Linked DNA regions of Arabidopsis thaliana. The protein of the gene in region 2 interacts with the protein of the main gene of each other region in a pairwise test. Each region holds a gene or a part of one and is shown on either strand. Other genes may lie near its edges.

Evidence for each region. Proteins that work in one complex are often made in the same cells at the same time.
Region 1: the proteins of AT2G18480 (region 2) and ERS2 interact in a protein complementation assay, tested with the Arabidopsis thaliana proteins (one large-scale study listed by BioGRID).
Region 3: the proteins of AT2G18480 (region 2) and CAX7 interact in a protein complementation assay, tested with the Arabidopsis thaliana proteins (one large-scale study listed by BioGRID).

The regions. Positions count from the first base shown.
Region 1 is NC_003070.9:1,153,909-1,159,380, reverse strand, and holds ERS2 (ethylene response sensor 2), read left to right. Parts: upstream 1-1,567; 5' UTR 1,568-1,835; intron 1,836-2,241; 5' UTR 2,242-2,255; coding exon 2,256-4,031; intron 4,032-4,103; coding exon 4,104-4,265; 3' UTR 4,266-4,617; downstream 4,618-5,472. UniProt on the Arabidopsis thaliana protein: Ethylene receptor related to bacterial two-component regulators. Acts as a redundant negative regulator of ethylene signaling.
Region 2 is NC_003071.7:8,008,161-8,013,227, reverse strand, and holds AT2G18480 (Major facilitator superfamily protein), read left to right. Parts: upstream 1-1,950; 5' UTR 1,951-1,984; coding exon 1,985-2,099; intron 2,100-2,234; coding exon 2,235-3,646; 3' UTR 3,647-4,127; downstream 4,128-5,067. UniProt on the Arabidopsis thaliana protein: Plasma membrane sugar-proton symporter.
Region 3 is NC_003076.8:5,901,539-5,906,170, reverse strand, and holds CAX7 (calcium exchanger 7), read left to right. Parts: upstream 1-1,638; 5' UTR 1,639-1,820; coding exon 1,821-3,533; 3' UTR 3,534-3,777; downstream 3,778-4,632. UniProt on the Arabidopsis thaliana protein: Vacuolar membrane-localized H(+)-dependent K(+) and Na(+) transporter.

The DNA.
Region 1 (5,472 bases), on a different chromosome or scaffold from region 2:
TTCTGTGTACATCTGTTTTGATTTGCATATATATTGGCTTAAGTGGCAAAGGTGCATGCACTATTTCTATTTCTTTGATAAAAGTTTTATGATGCATGCATTCTTACCAGTGATTTCTTTAAAAGGAGAAGACATTTGTTTTGTAATAGTGACGAGAATGTAGACAGAAAAGGAAAGGAATCAGCACGTGTTCATCGCTCGACACGTGGCCAATAATAGCATTGGATTCAGAAAAAAAGAAAAAGAAAAAAGCGAAAAAACCTGTATAACAGGAAAAAAATACAATCTGCACCAGCCGGGAATCGAACCCGGGTCTGTACCGTGGCAGGGTACTATTCTACCACTAGACCACTGGTTATTTATTTAAAAGATTTATATTGGTATAAAACCTTGACCATAAAATGTTCCTAGTGCATCCACTAAGATCAAATTCATATTAATAAACAAAAACATAAAATTCAAACCGATATAGCAAGATTGCTGTTAGTTTTGTCTTCTAAATCTGATAAGTGTTCGTTATTGTCGAGGTTATGTAGCTAGTTTATATATTACTTGTACTAAATTTCAATAGGGCAATCAAAATATACGGATTTTCATGTGTATATATTTTTCTAAATTTGCGGTTTACAAAGAAAAGTTAGTGGTTGATCATATTGATTTCTTGAAAGGGAAATATTACCAATAAAATGATAAAATTGCCAAGAAAAATTAGTAGTACGATCGATAATTTAGTGATATTGGGATCCAAAGAGATGATCATGCACTTAGTTAAGACTCCATTTTCTGATAAGAGTTAAGTGGCGGTAGACCCACAAAGAAATTTGATTCGGTATTGTTATTATTGAGTAGAAAAACAAAGATGGAGTGTTTAACTAAATCATGTCTAATAAGTAGCAAGGTAGGTCAATATAACGTTTTACAAACGAAAAATAGCATTGCATATTTAATTATCTACCAAATATCTTAAGTCAGTCGAATAAACTAACTCATTATGTTATCAAATCAGCCGCAAATTGTGCCGTTTAAGTCAATACTATTTTTAACTTAGATATTTAGTGAGTAGACTTCATACTTGCATAGTCTAGTAGTTATCATTGTTTAATGCAATTTTTTGGTTTTAATGTAAACTTATACTACTATTTGGTCATGTAATCTCACTTTCTAAAAAACCAATGTAATCATCCATAATAGAAATAAAACATTTATTTAATATAATTAACTAATTTTTAAACATTAAAAAGAATAGATTTATTTTTATACATAAAATAATAGAAATATAAATATATATATATATTATTATAGGTTGTTTATTGTAATCCAAAAGCAGAATAAAATTTGGGATAGGTATTAAGAGTCATAAATCTTGAAAATAGAGTCATTAATTAATAAAGCTGAAAAGGAAAGATTAAAAAAAGAAGAAGAATCCTCTAAAATTGAATTTGGTAAGAGTCCACGTAGGTCAAGAAGAAGAAGAAGAAGATGTCGTGCTCGTGTTGTGTTCCAAACGAAAAGCGTCTATGTTCTCTTCATGTACCGTTTCTGGGTCCCACCCCCCTTTCCTTCTTCACTCTCCCCCCAATTCCTCCCTCTCTCTCTCTCTCTCTCTCTCTCTCTCACCAAAACGTAAATCTACTCTCTCTATCGCAGCAGACACAGAAAAAGAGAGAGCGAGAGACTCTGCTCACACACATATTTACTTCCCTAACTTGTCTCTCTCTCTACACATTCTGGTGAGTTTCGTAAGATTCAACAATCGTTTAGACTTCTTCTTCTTCTTCTTCTACAGCTTTTACGTTTTCTGGAAAAGAGATTTTTGGCTGATCACTACGTTGCAGGTATATGATTTCTCAAATGTGAGATGGGTTTGATGTTCCTTTTCGCTATTTCTCATCTGATTTTGAATTTTCTGCGGATTTTGTGAGGAATCGGTAGATTTTGATGTTTGTTCTTGTGGGTGGTTCATAACTTCATACATTTAGGGGATTAAAAGAAAATTAATTTACAAATTCGGTCCTTGTTGTGAAAAAGATTTATAATCTAAAAGACATTAACTTTACTCTCTCCTTGAACAAGTTTTGAATTTTGAATCTTTTTCTGATTTTGATTTTCACTATGTTCATAGGTAATTGCACAATTCTGGGTATACAAAATCCAAACGTTACGCATATTGAATTGAAAAATCTCGATTTTGAGTTCTGGGTATGAATAAAAATCTCACCTTTTTAATTAATTCTTACTCAGGGAAACAGTAATCGATGTTAAAGACATTGTTAGTCCAATGGCTTGTCTTCTTCTTCTTCTTCTTAATCGGTTCCGTCGTCACCGCCGCAGAAGACGACGGTAGCTTGTCGTTATGCAACTGCGACGACGAAGACAGTCTCTTTAGCTACGAGACAATCCTCAACTCGCAAAAAGTCGGCGACTTTCTTATCGCAATCGCTTATTTCTCGATCCCAATCGAGCTGGTTTACTTCGTGAGCCGCACCAATGTGCCTTCACCTTACAATTGGGTGGTCTGCGAGTTTATAGCCTTCATTGTTCTCTGCGGCATGACCCATTTGCTCGCTGGTTTCACCTACGGGCCTCACTGGCCTTGGGTCATGACAGCTGTCACTGTCTTCAAGATGCTGACTGGTATCGTCTCTTTCCTCACGGCACTCTCGTTAGTCACTCTCTTACCATTGCTTCTTAAGGCTAAGGTTCGTGAGTTTATGTTGAGTAAGAAGACCAGAGAGCTTGATCGTGAGGTTGGGATCATTATGAAGCAGACTGAGACGAGTTTGCATGTTCGTATGCTCACTACCAAGATTAGGACGTCTCTTGATCGACACACCATTCTATACACTACGCTTGTGGAGTTGTCCAAGACTCTGGGGCTCAAGAACTGTGCGGTTTGGATCCCGAATGAGATCAAGACGGAGATGAATCTTACTCATGAGTTAAGACCGAGGATTGATGATGAGAATGAGAATGAGCATTTTGGTGGTTATGCTGGGTTCTCGATACCGATTAGTGAGTCTGATGTTGTGAGGATTAAGAGAAGCGAAGAGGTGAATATGTTGAGCCCTGGTTCTGTGCTTGCCTCAGTGACTAGCCGAGGGAAGTCAGGTCCTACGGTTGGGATAAGAGTCCCTATGCTTCGGGTTTGTAACTTTAAAGGCGGGACACCAGAGGCGATTCACATGTGTTATGCGATATTGGTGTGTGTGCTTCCATTGAGACAGCCGCAGGCTTGGACTTATCAAGAGCTTGAGATTGTTAAGGTGGTGGCTGATCAAGTGGCGGTTGCAATCTCTCACGCCGTGATTCTTGAAGAATCTCAGCTTATGAGAGAGAAACTCGCTGAACAGAACCGAGCGCTTCAGGTTGCGAGGGAGAACGCACTGAGAGCTAATCAAGCCAAGGCTGCGTTCGAGCAGATGATGAGCGATGCAATGAGGTGTCCTGTGCGGTCCATTCTCGGGTTGCTTCCTTTGATACTTCAGGATGGGAAGTTACCCGAGAACCAGACTGTTATCGTTGATGCAATGAGGAGAACCAGCGAGTTACTTGTACAGCTTGTAAACAATGCCGGAGATATAAACAATGGGACAATCCGCGCTGCAGAGACTCATTATTTCAGTTTGCATTCGGTTGTGAAAGAGTCAGCTTGCGTGGCGAGGTGTTTATGCATGGCAAATGGTTTTGGTTTCTCAGCTGAAGTTTATAGAGCATTGCCTGACTACGTCGTAGGTGATGATAGAAAGGTCTTTCAAGCGATTTTGCATATGCTTGGGGTTCTAATGAATCGAAAGATCAAAGGGAATGTGACTTTCTGGGTTTTTCCGGAAAGCGGGAACTCAGACGTATCAGAGAGGAAAGATATTCAAGAAGCGGTTTGGCGACATTGCTATTCGAAAGAATACATGGAAGTTAGATTCGGATTCGAGGTAACTGCTGAAGGTGAAGAGAGTAGTAGTAGTAGTAGTGGTAGTAACCTGGAGGAGGAGGAAGAGAATCCGAGTCTCAACGCTTGCCAAAACATTGTAAAGGTTGGTCATTTGTGTTTTGTATGTAAATGTGCTAATGACTTGGTTTAACACTTTTATCTTGTTTTGTGACAGTATATGCAAGGGAATATTCGGGTTGTTGAGGACGGTCTAGGTTTGGTGAAAAGCGTCTCAGTTGTTTTCCGGTTTCAACTCCGGCGATCGATGATGTCGAGAGGCGGTGGATATTCTGGAGAAACGTTTAGAACCTCAACTCCTCCGTCTACTAGCCACTGATCATTGACGTCAGGAAGGGGGGGAGGGGAATGTAGTGCAAAAGAAAGATTTAAGGGGTGGAATCTGAGAATTTGTAAAAACAGTAGGGGCTTTAATGAGATTAACAGAGAGAGTACTAAAACGTTGTCGTTCGGTTGTAAAAACCTGAAAGTTAACTAGGTTTTAACCTATCGTGTAGGCAAAAGGTATGATGCAGACTTGTTGTAACTTGCTGGTGATAACAGAATTCAAAGTAAAAAAATGTGTCGGAGGATGTTCCTTACGGATTTGTGATTTACAAGCCTACCAACTCCTTTGTCAAATATTGTGACGTTTTAGATGAAGCTTATAAATTTATTGATTTCTGATCCAGAAACCGTATACAACTTGTATCCACAATATGTATCCAGGTACATATTAACTTCGACCTTTTAATTAACTTTTGTTTTTAAAAGGTTTATGTGATTTTTTTTTTTTAACATTGAGGTGATTCGTGCGACCTCTCTTTCTCTCTATTTATCTCTCTTTCTTTTCCTCCGTCGTCTTTTTTGGTTTGTTCTCTCTCTGTAGAATCTCATAGGAGCTGCCATTAGCCCATTCAACGAATTAGCTTCTCTTTGCTCTTTCTTCCACCATCTCAGGTTCGCTTCGATCTACAACCAATAAGCTTCTTCTATATCTCCTCCTTTGTTCTTCGGATTTTGCGAGGCTTTATGTTCCGATTACAGTCTTTCATTTTGATACCACACCGATTTTGATTTTCCCCGATCGTTGATTTCATCTGGGCTTTGTTTTGTTTTCCGATGTCTTTGATGAAATTATGAGGTTTCTCTGGATATTTTAGCTGATTGAAATGATATATTGCTTCGCCGCCCTCTAATTTTTCGGCTGATTTTTTTTTGTTTGTTTGTAATTTTACCAATCTAATTTTGAAAATTGGAAATTAGGGTTTATTGCCCATCGATTATCTGATGTGGGTTTTAAAGGGTTTCGATTTTTTAGCCATGAATTCGTTATACTCACGGATAAAATCTAGAAATGATTGCGGATTGGTATAGTTTGAGAGAGCCAGATCGTTGAATATCTTTGTCCATTTCAAATCATGACTTGGCATATTGTTTTCTGGGTATACATAATTGTGGGGATTACAGAATTCAAAATCTAATTTATTTGCTCCAATCGTTAATTGCTGATAGTTGAAGGAGAGAGAGAGCTTTGACGAAACAAT
Region 2 (5,067 bases):
TGAAAAGAAAAAAACGCATGCCATTTACTTGTTTGAGTAAGTTACTCATTATGGTATATGCTCTTCAAGAAAACAAATCAAATACTACTTTTTCGTCACGTATCTTTCTTTTTCAGCTCACCAAAATATAACTTTCAAGGAATCATATCAAAACTTTACTATTTACATGGATTTTGTGCATTTGCATAATTTACGTATACAAATCCCAAAGGTTAGCGTTTTTGCCAACTATATATATAGATACTAGCTAGATGATTATCCAGATTTACTTCTTCTTTTTTAATAATATATATATCGTATATCCATTAAATGTGTAAACCTTTACTTCTAACAGATTTAGAGATCTATAAAACGTATACACTAAGAATTATTTAGAAAAACTAGAAGTTTGAAATAAGTTATTGTCTCTCTAATACACCAATATTGCTTCTTATGTTCATTACAATTTTACAAATGTATGCTTACCAGATTACAAAAGCATGTTGAAAATTCGAAGTTATGATACCAATTTATTAGTAGCGAATGTAAAAAAGACTAAACATAAATTGGACGTAGTCCACCAAGATATATAATGTTATAATTAGCGGGGTAAAATATTGATTTAATACTGGAGGCGTAATAACATCTTGTTTCAGAATTCCAACAACGTACGAGTAAGAAAAACAAAAATACAGTTCTCAACAGACTAATTGGACGTAAAACTCTAGGCCAGCCAAACTGACAAAGCATATGACAAAAATATAAATGATAGAATTGGCAATTTCAGAATTTTCCATCGATCATGCTAAAATGAACATTAGTTGGAACCCAAAAACATTTTTGTTTATCTTGCACATACAAACAGAGCTATAGGTTACGTTATGACTTATGATGTTCTGATTTATTGATCAAATCACACATCAGTTTTTTCCCAACAGATATCAATTTCATTATGTAATGATACATATAGTCTGATAGTATTATTCGTCTGTTGAGAACAACGGCTTTTTGTTGGATACAAGTTTTTTTGTTTCGTCAAAACAAGTTTAATTTTGGACTTCATCACTTCAATAAGAAAAAGAAACCAACTGAAAATAAATGCACCGTATAAATTTAGTTCACCAAATTATATAAATGTGGAAAAGAATCTTTAAAGGTTACGCCACTATTGAACATAGATCAGGAAAATGCCGAAAGTGAAGAAGATGGCGACTTTTAACTTACAATATTAGCAATATTTTTGGTCATATCGTATTAAAATTGATGACCTACCATTTAAAAATGGTGGATATAACTTCTTCTAGCATATGTTACTATAATGAATGATCAATTCTGAATTCTCATACATATGACTTCACAACGGAAACTTTTTGCTTTAGAGTTTCATAAATAGTTTACGACATACAATTTTTCATGCATTCCACTCACGAGAACAACTTTATACGTAACATGCAATTGCAAAACTACAATAATCGGGTTTACATGTAACATAGCATCTAATAAAAATCTTCACTTCCTTTATTAAAAAATAATAAAAATTGAAAACAAGAAGACCAAGTTCAAGTTCAACGAAGGTCGTCACAAATTATTTGAAGACCGTGTGCGAAACCATTTTTTAAACTCATTGTAACCTTTTAATTATTATTTTAACTTACGTATGTATTGGTTAAAACTTAAAACACTTGCCTGATTACACTACTTTTTTTTTTTGTTGGAAATCTTTTCAATTTATTTTGCTCGATATACTTCTCAGGTTGTATACGTCTAAATCTTGAGGAAAATTCATATCTTGCAGAAATATAATTCTCGTACCAGAATACGTGGGCACCCACAAACACTGTGGAACAACAGTAGAAGTTTTTGATCGTCATTGTTCCACTATGGATGCAAGTGGTGGACATATATAGTTATGTGTATATATATACTAGTAAATGCACACAATCGATATAACAAGTTATTCTAAAATTTAACCCAAAAAAAAAAAAAGAGAAGAAAAAGACTCAACATGGTTCATGCTGATGGTCATAATTTTCCCGGTTCGGATCCAAACCCTCATATGAACAAGTTCGCTTTCGGGTGTGCCATTGTTGCTTCCATCATTTCTATCATCTTTGGATATGGTAACATACTAACATTCTCTACATATCAAACAAAAGTTTTCTACATATATCATATAAAGATATATTCAATGGAATTATATTAATGATTTTATATTAACGAATATTTTTTTTTTTGTAATGGTGTGTTGTCCTTAGATACGGGAGTTATGAGCGGAGCTCAGATATTTATAAGAGATGATCTAAAAATAAACGACACTCAGATTGAAGTTTTGGCCGGAATCTTGAATCTTTGTGCACTCGTCGGATCACTAACGGCGGGGAAAACGTCTGACGTCATCGGCCGACGTTACACCATAGCTCTCTCCGCCGTGATATTCTTAGTGGGCTCAGTTCTTATGGGTTACGGCCCAAACTATCCTGTTTTGATGGTCGGACGATGTATTGCCGGAGTTGGTGTAGGGTTTGCTCTCATGATAGCTCCGGTTTACTCTGCCGAGATATCCTCTGCGTCACATAGAGGCTTTCTCACTTCTCTACCTGAGCTTTGTATTAGTCTTGGGATTTTACTAGGCTATGTCTCGAATTACTGTTTTGGGAAACTGACGTTGAAACTTGGATGGAGATTGATGCTTGGAATCGCAGCGTTCCCGTCTTTGATATTGGCTTTTGGGATTACAAGAATGCCCGAGTCGCCGAGGTGGCTTGTGATGCAAGGTAGGTTAGAAGAAGCCAAGAAAATAATGGTTTTGGTATCCAATACGGAAGAAGAAGCTGAAGAACGGTTCAGAGACATCTTAACCGCTGCGGAAGTAGATGTGACAGAGATAAAAGAAGTTGGTGGCGGCGTTAAGAAGAAGAATCACGGTAAAAGTGTTTGGAGGGAGTTGGTGATAAAACCGCGACCTGCGGTGCGTTTGATCTTGATAGCGGCCGTTGGGATACACTTTTTCGAGCATGCGACGGGGATTGAGGCCGTCGTGTTGTACAGCCCGAGAATTTTCAAGAAAGCCGGAGTTGTTTCGAAAGACAAGCTCTTACTAGCCACGGTCGGTGTAGGTTTAACTAAGGCCTTTTTCATAATAATAGCCACTTTCTTGCTCGACAAGGTAGGTCGTAGAAAGCTCCTGTTGACCAGTACGGGTGGGATGGTCTTCGCATTGACCAGTTTAGCGGTTAGTCTCACGATGGTTCAGCGATTTGGGCGGTTAGCGTGGGCATTGAGTTTAAGCATCGTCTCTACGTATGCATTTGTAGCTTTTTTCTCCATAGGGCTTGGACCTATCACATGGGTGTACAGCTCCGAGATATTCCCGTTGAGACTTAGGGCTCAGGGAGCGAGTATAGGTGTTGCGGTTAATAGGATCATGAACGCGACGGTCTCAATGAGTTTTCTGTCGATGACGAAGGCGATCACGACAGGGGGCGTGTTCTTCGTATTCGCCGGAATAGCGGTGGCGGCATGGTGGTTCTTCTTCTTTATGTTGCCGGAGACGAAAGGATTGCCATTGGAGGAGATGGAGAAGCTTTTTGGTGGTGGGGGTCCTCGTGGTGATCGTGACGGACTTGAGATTCAAACTAAAACCATCTCTATTGGGGGTTTCTCATAAGAGTTTCTCACAATTAAAAAAATAAAAATAATAAAAATGAAGGAGAGAGAGTGTAGAAAGATTCTCAGAAACTTTGAGATACTCTCTACAACCCATCATGACAATTCGCTTCTCACTATTGGTTCAACTTTTTAACAAAAATATTTTTTTAATCAAAAATTCAAATTATAATATAATATTAATTTTTTTTTGTTTGAGAAACTTTGTGGGTTTCTCATGGATGGAGATGCCCTTAGAGAGTCAATAATTAGGTTAGATTATCATGGCTATGTAGAATAATTTTTAAATCCAACATGATTTGGCATATCTATTATAAGGTGTGATTTTTTGTAAAGGACAAAGTATGATTTTTATATTCATCCCTTTTTACTGTAGCTAATGAGAATCTACAACCTAATAAAAAACAATAACAATTATTTAATTATAAAATCTAATAGTTCACCAAAACAAAATCATATATCGGTTTGGATTTATAAGAGAGGGTTAAAGTTTAAATTTTATGATTAAACGAAGTTAAATACCAGTTTAGGTTTATAAACGATTTTAGATTTTAGAATCAAACGAGGTTAAATGTCGGTTTAGAGTTATAAACGGGTTTGGATTTTACAATTAGATGAGGTTAAATGTCGGTTTGAGTTTTAGAAAGAACGATTTAAGTTTAGATTTTACAATTAATCGAGTTTAAATGTCGGTTTGGATTTACAAAATAGAATTAGAGTTTAAATTTTGTAATTAAACAAAATTATATATCGGTTTGAGTTTATGAAATAGTGGTTAAGATTATAGATTTTATAATTAAATGAGTTTATTTATTTATTAGGTGACATATTCTAATTGGCTGAAAGAGGTGAATGAAAAGGTGAACCAAGAATTGTTCGATTTTTAACTACACATCTAATTCTAGACTCTAGAGTATGCATATTAATGTTTCCAGAGATCAGAAAGTGCTTAAACAAAACATATTGATCACTTCATGGTTTTTAAGTCTTAGTTTAATTGATGGAAAGGAGAGGATTACCAATACTGAAGTAGAGTCATAGTTGATATTTGAGGGGTGAGAACCCTGAGATTCGTAAAGAAATCGATGAACTTGTGCGTGAAGAAATTAGTTTGATCATGCTCAAAGGTCTAAATAATAAAAAACCTTGACATTTGTTCCCAATTGAAGTCCTTTAATTGTGAGAAAAATTATGTTGCTCTAGAGCAATATTGAAGAAAAAGGAGACATATCACATATGGGAAGACCTGAGGAGCAATGATTTGATTTGACGGACCAAAATAAACCAGAGATTTTCCTGACAAATTAAGGTAATAATGCATGAGGTTACGTGGAAATGAATCAACAATCGTTAGCTCCTAATATCACGGAGCCAAAAAGAGAAAAATTAGACCGGAGATTATTACAATTAGTAACTAACACA
Region 3 (4,632 bases), on a different chromosome or scaffold from region 2:
ATAACCAAAAGATGATTTAAGTTTAAGAAGAAGATACAATCGAACAAGTGAATTAAACAAATTAAATAGTTATACACGATATAACACATACATACATATATATAACACATACATACATATATATATATATATTTGTTTACAATATTATTTGATGGTTTTATATAAACAAATATTAGTCTATTTACAGGTAAGTGTCTTGTATAAAGGCCTAATTTGAGCCAGTTTTAGTCATGTGATTGCATTACATCGAGAAGAGAACCATATATGAATCGATTGCTCTCGTCCGTTTGCACTTTGCATTATTGCGTTATTTTGTTTTCTTGGAATTAGAGTTTGTATTTTGTACTGCACTAGCCATGCCAGCTAAATGAATATACCAGGAATCTTTTGGATACTTTTTTTGTTTATCAATATTTTTATTTCGGACCTTAATTAAAGGAAATTGATCTTGGTCGGAAATATTTATATATTATCTAGAAAATTTTAAAAGATACGTAAAACAAGCTTTTCCTTTATGAAAAACGATCGATTATTATTTAATAGAAATGTATAATAATTTCATGTTAAAAAATGTTAACAGTTTTCAATAGAAATATCGGTTACGTTGCATAAATATTTATCTGACTACAAAGTAACGTTGTGTCAATATAGAGTAAATGACATAACTCCTAAGAATACAAAAGGAATAACTACTTGTCATGAATATTGGAATAAAGACTTATAACGTATTTTCAACTATCTCAAATCATGATGAATACAAAGTAGCCGGCGGTTTTTTCACTAAAAAATAAAAGATGGCGGTCCAAAATTTTATCAAATTAATGATCTTTAATTTTTGTTTGCATCATTTATTAAATTCTCATGTGTATTCTTTAACGATGCAATATAAAAATTACAAGCAAATCATAAGAATGTGGATATGACGACTATGTTTGAAAAGTCGTGATCGGTTGAGATTGCGTTGCAAAGTGGTCTACTCAGCCAAAATACTTCTTAATCACATCAATCGACCTTCAGGTTTGGAGTTTTCTCCATTTTCAATTTTTTCGAATCCTAGTTTTATTAATTTTATCAATCACATGTCCATATTTGATAACTGATATATAACCATACATAATATATAAATAATCAATTTCTTTTTAGGCCTAAAACATTAGGCAATGTCCAGATTTTGATGGCCGTAAAAAATTATTAAGTAGTATTGTTTTTTCGGGAAAGCAATGAATGACCTAAGTTGGTGATTAATTCAACCATTATACGAACACCATTGCAACACAATCTCACTCACTTTGATAGTTATGGTTTTTTTCTATTAATACTTTATGCTGACTACTTTTCATCGAATATTAACTATAATAGCAACATTATGAACTACATTAATCCTCAACTCCTTGTTATTGTCACAAATATCATGACACGTGTGATTTGCATGCCTCGCGACGATTACACTAGAAAATTGGACTCCAAGTTGGACCATAGAAAAATAAAAACACTACATACAAATTGTAGTAACATGAATATCTCGTAAAACCAATAATAGTAGATATAGAGTTCTTTAAAAACACTTTATCAACTTCGATTTTTCCTCCTTGTGTGAATAATTGAATATAACCTCCCCCACTTAATATATTTCGCATAAAAAGACAATACTTTCCCCTACCCACATCCGCATGAAATAAAAAGGAATCTTTTATTTTCCGAAATATTAACAATTCAAAACTTCCACACAAAAAAAAAAAAACTACAATTTTCTCATTATTATATCAGAAAACCTAACACACCTCATTATTGTTCCACTTCATACCCATTTGCTTCCTTGAATGGCAAGTCTCTTCTCCTCACGTCTCGGCTCTCAATCTCTTTCTCTCCTCATCAACATCTTCTTCATCTTTCTCATCTTTCTCCATTTCGCTTCACAAACTCCTCCTCCCTCCGGATCCATCCAAACCTTAAATTCCTTTGCCGGCGGTGACAGTGACAGCTGCAGCGGAGGACTCGCCAGCCTTGACGACCACCGTTCCAAGTGTTCTTACATAAGATCTCAATCAAAATGTGGCCCACAAGGTTACATAGACTATCTCAAGATTTTCTTCTGCATCTTCGGACAATCCCCTGTTTTGGGCCATCTAGTTTTATCCGCCTGGTTGTTTGTTCTGTTCTACTTGCTCGGAGACACGGCCGCGAGTTACTTCTGTCCTTCTTTAGACAGCTTATCTAAGGTTTTGAAGCTGTCTCCTACAATGGCTGGAGTCACGCTTCTCTCTCTTGGCAACGGTGCGCCTGATTTGTTCTCAAGTGTTGTCTCCTTCACAAGATCGAATAATGGCGATTTTGGGCTCAACTCTATTTTAGGCGGTGCGTTCTTCGTCTCTAGCTTCGTTGTTGGGACGATTTGTGTGTTGATTGGATCTAGAGATGTCGCTATCGACAGAAATAGCTTTATCCGCGACGTGGTTTTTCTTCTTGTCGCTCTTTGCTGTCTCGGTTTGATCATCTTCATAGGCAAAGTAACCATTTGGGTCGCTCTCTGTTATCTCTCCATTTATCTCCTCTATGTAGGGTTTTTATCGGTTTCACATTTCTTTGACCGCAAGAAACGTATGTCCGATCAGATTCTTCGTAGCAGAGAAGATTTGGCCGAGATGGGTGTTTCGTTGCTAGGCTATATAGCAGAGGAGAAGCTGGCTTTGCCAGAGAAAACAACTCAAGAATTCAAGATTGTGTTTGAAGATTCTCCAAAAAGGCACCGATCTTGCTTCTCGGTGCTAGTGAGCATAATTGGACTACCTCTATATCTCCCCAGGCGGCTCACAATTCCCGTCGTTTGCGAAGAAAAATGGTCAAAGCCTTGCGCTGTGGTTTCCACGGCCATCGCTCCTGTTCTACTAACCGAACTTTACTGTTCTCATTACAGCGGGTCACAAAGAAACCTAATCTTGTACATAATATCCGGATCTATCGGGCTAATCGTCGGTATCTTAGCTTACTTGACGACAGAAAAATCACATCCGCCGAAGAAATTCTCATTAGTTTGGCTTCTAGGAGGCTTCACGATGAGTGTGACATGGACATACATGATAGCACAAGAGCTAGTCTCATTGTTAATATCCTTAGGTAATATCTTTGGTATAAGCCCATCCGTGCTAGGACTAACCGTCCTAGCTTGGGGAAATTCTCTAGGCGATCTTATCGCGAATGTGACCGTGGCGTTTCACGGAGGCAACGATGGTGCTCAGATAGCACTTTCCGGATGCTACGCAGGCCCGCTATTCAACACGGTAATTGGACTAGGTGTGCCACTTGTCATCTCCTCGTTGGCCGAATACCCCGGGGTCTACATCATTCCTAGTGACAATTCGTTGCTTGAGACACTAGGGTTCTTAATGGTAGGCTTGCTTTGGGCACTTGTGATAATGCCAAAGAAGAAGATGAGACTTGATAAGCTTGTCGGTGGGGGCTTACTCGCTATTTACCTCTGTTTCTTGTCCTTGAGGTTGGCTAGAGTTTTCGGAGTCCTTGATACCGACCGGTGAATTTTATAGTAATGTAAATTTTGTTTTATTTGTTTTTGTAATAGTAGTTAATTCTTAAAGAAAAAAATTGCAAATAGGTCAAATTTGTGGGTCTTAATTTATTCCTTAAATGAAAAGATACTTTGTGCATAGTTGAATTACTATCGAGAGGGATGGCTAAATTTGTTTTGTTGCTGAACACTCATTTTCTGTCAAACTCACTTAGTACCTCACTAAAATTAAAAAAGCTTTGGATTGTTGTTCTAGGTTCATTGTTCATGGATTGTAAATAGATACGACATCATTAATACTAATATGCGGTCTAATTGGAATTCACAGTAATTGTTCATTTGATTATTTAAATGAATCTTATCTTCGTTATGATATAAGGATGTCATTTTCTTGAACTTATAAACTTACCGATCAAGATTCTTAAACATCTGAAGATTTTCTAGTCCTGAATATTAGCTACTAAATTTCATGTATAGTCTGATCTGATAGGTAAAATAATAAATATGATCAATTACGCTTTATGATCTTCTAGTTAATTTATGACTATAATCAAATAAAATAATAAATTTGATTATTTATAAATAATAAAGAGATTACGCTTTATGATCTGATCTAATTGTTCATTTGATTATTTGGTCGAATGAGACGCTTTATGATCTTCTAGTTAATTAGATTTTGATGTTTTGAATAATAAATAACGTATGATATCATTGATTTTGATGTTTGGTTGTTTTTTGGTTTAGCTTAGCTCAAGTGCTCAACCTTAATATTCCAAATTTGGAAGAAAAAAAAATCTGATTAATTTTTTTAAAAAAGGTTTCAATTAGGTGAAATTAACCGGAATGTATCAACTACGGCCAAATTTATCATATATGTTTAAATCCCTAAACAATTGTGGTAACGGATGCAAAGTGTCCCATTGCATTTTGAATTATTAGAAAATGGCCAAAAATTGGAGTTATCCTATTTCCAAGGAAACAATTTGCAGACAAGAAAAATGTGCCAAATTATTATGCACACGAGTCATGATGAGATTAGGAATAAAAAACACATCTTATCTTGAGTTCATTGCAAATTGGCAAAAAGAGACAAGCGTTGTCGCTTCAAA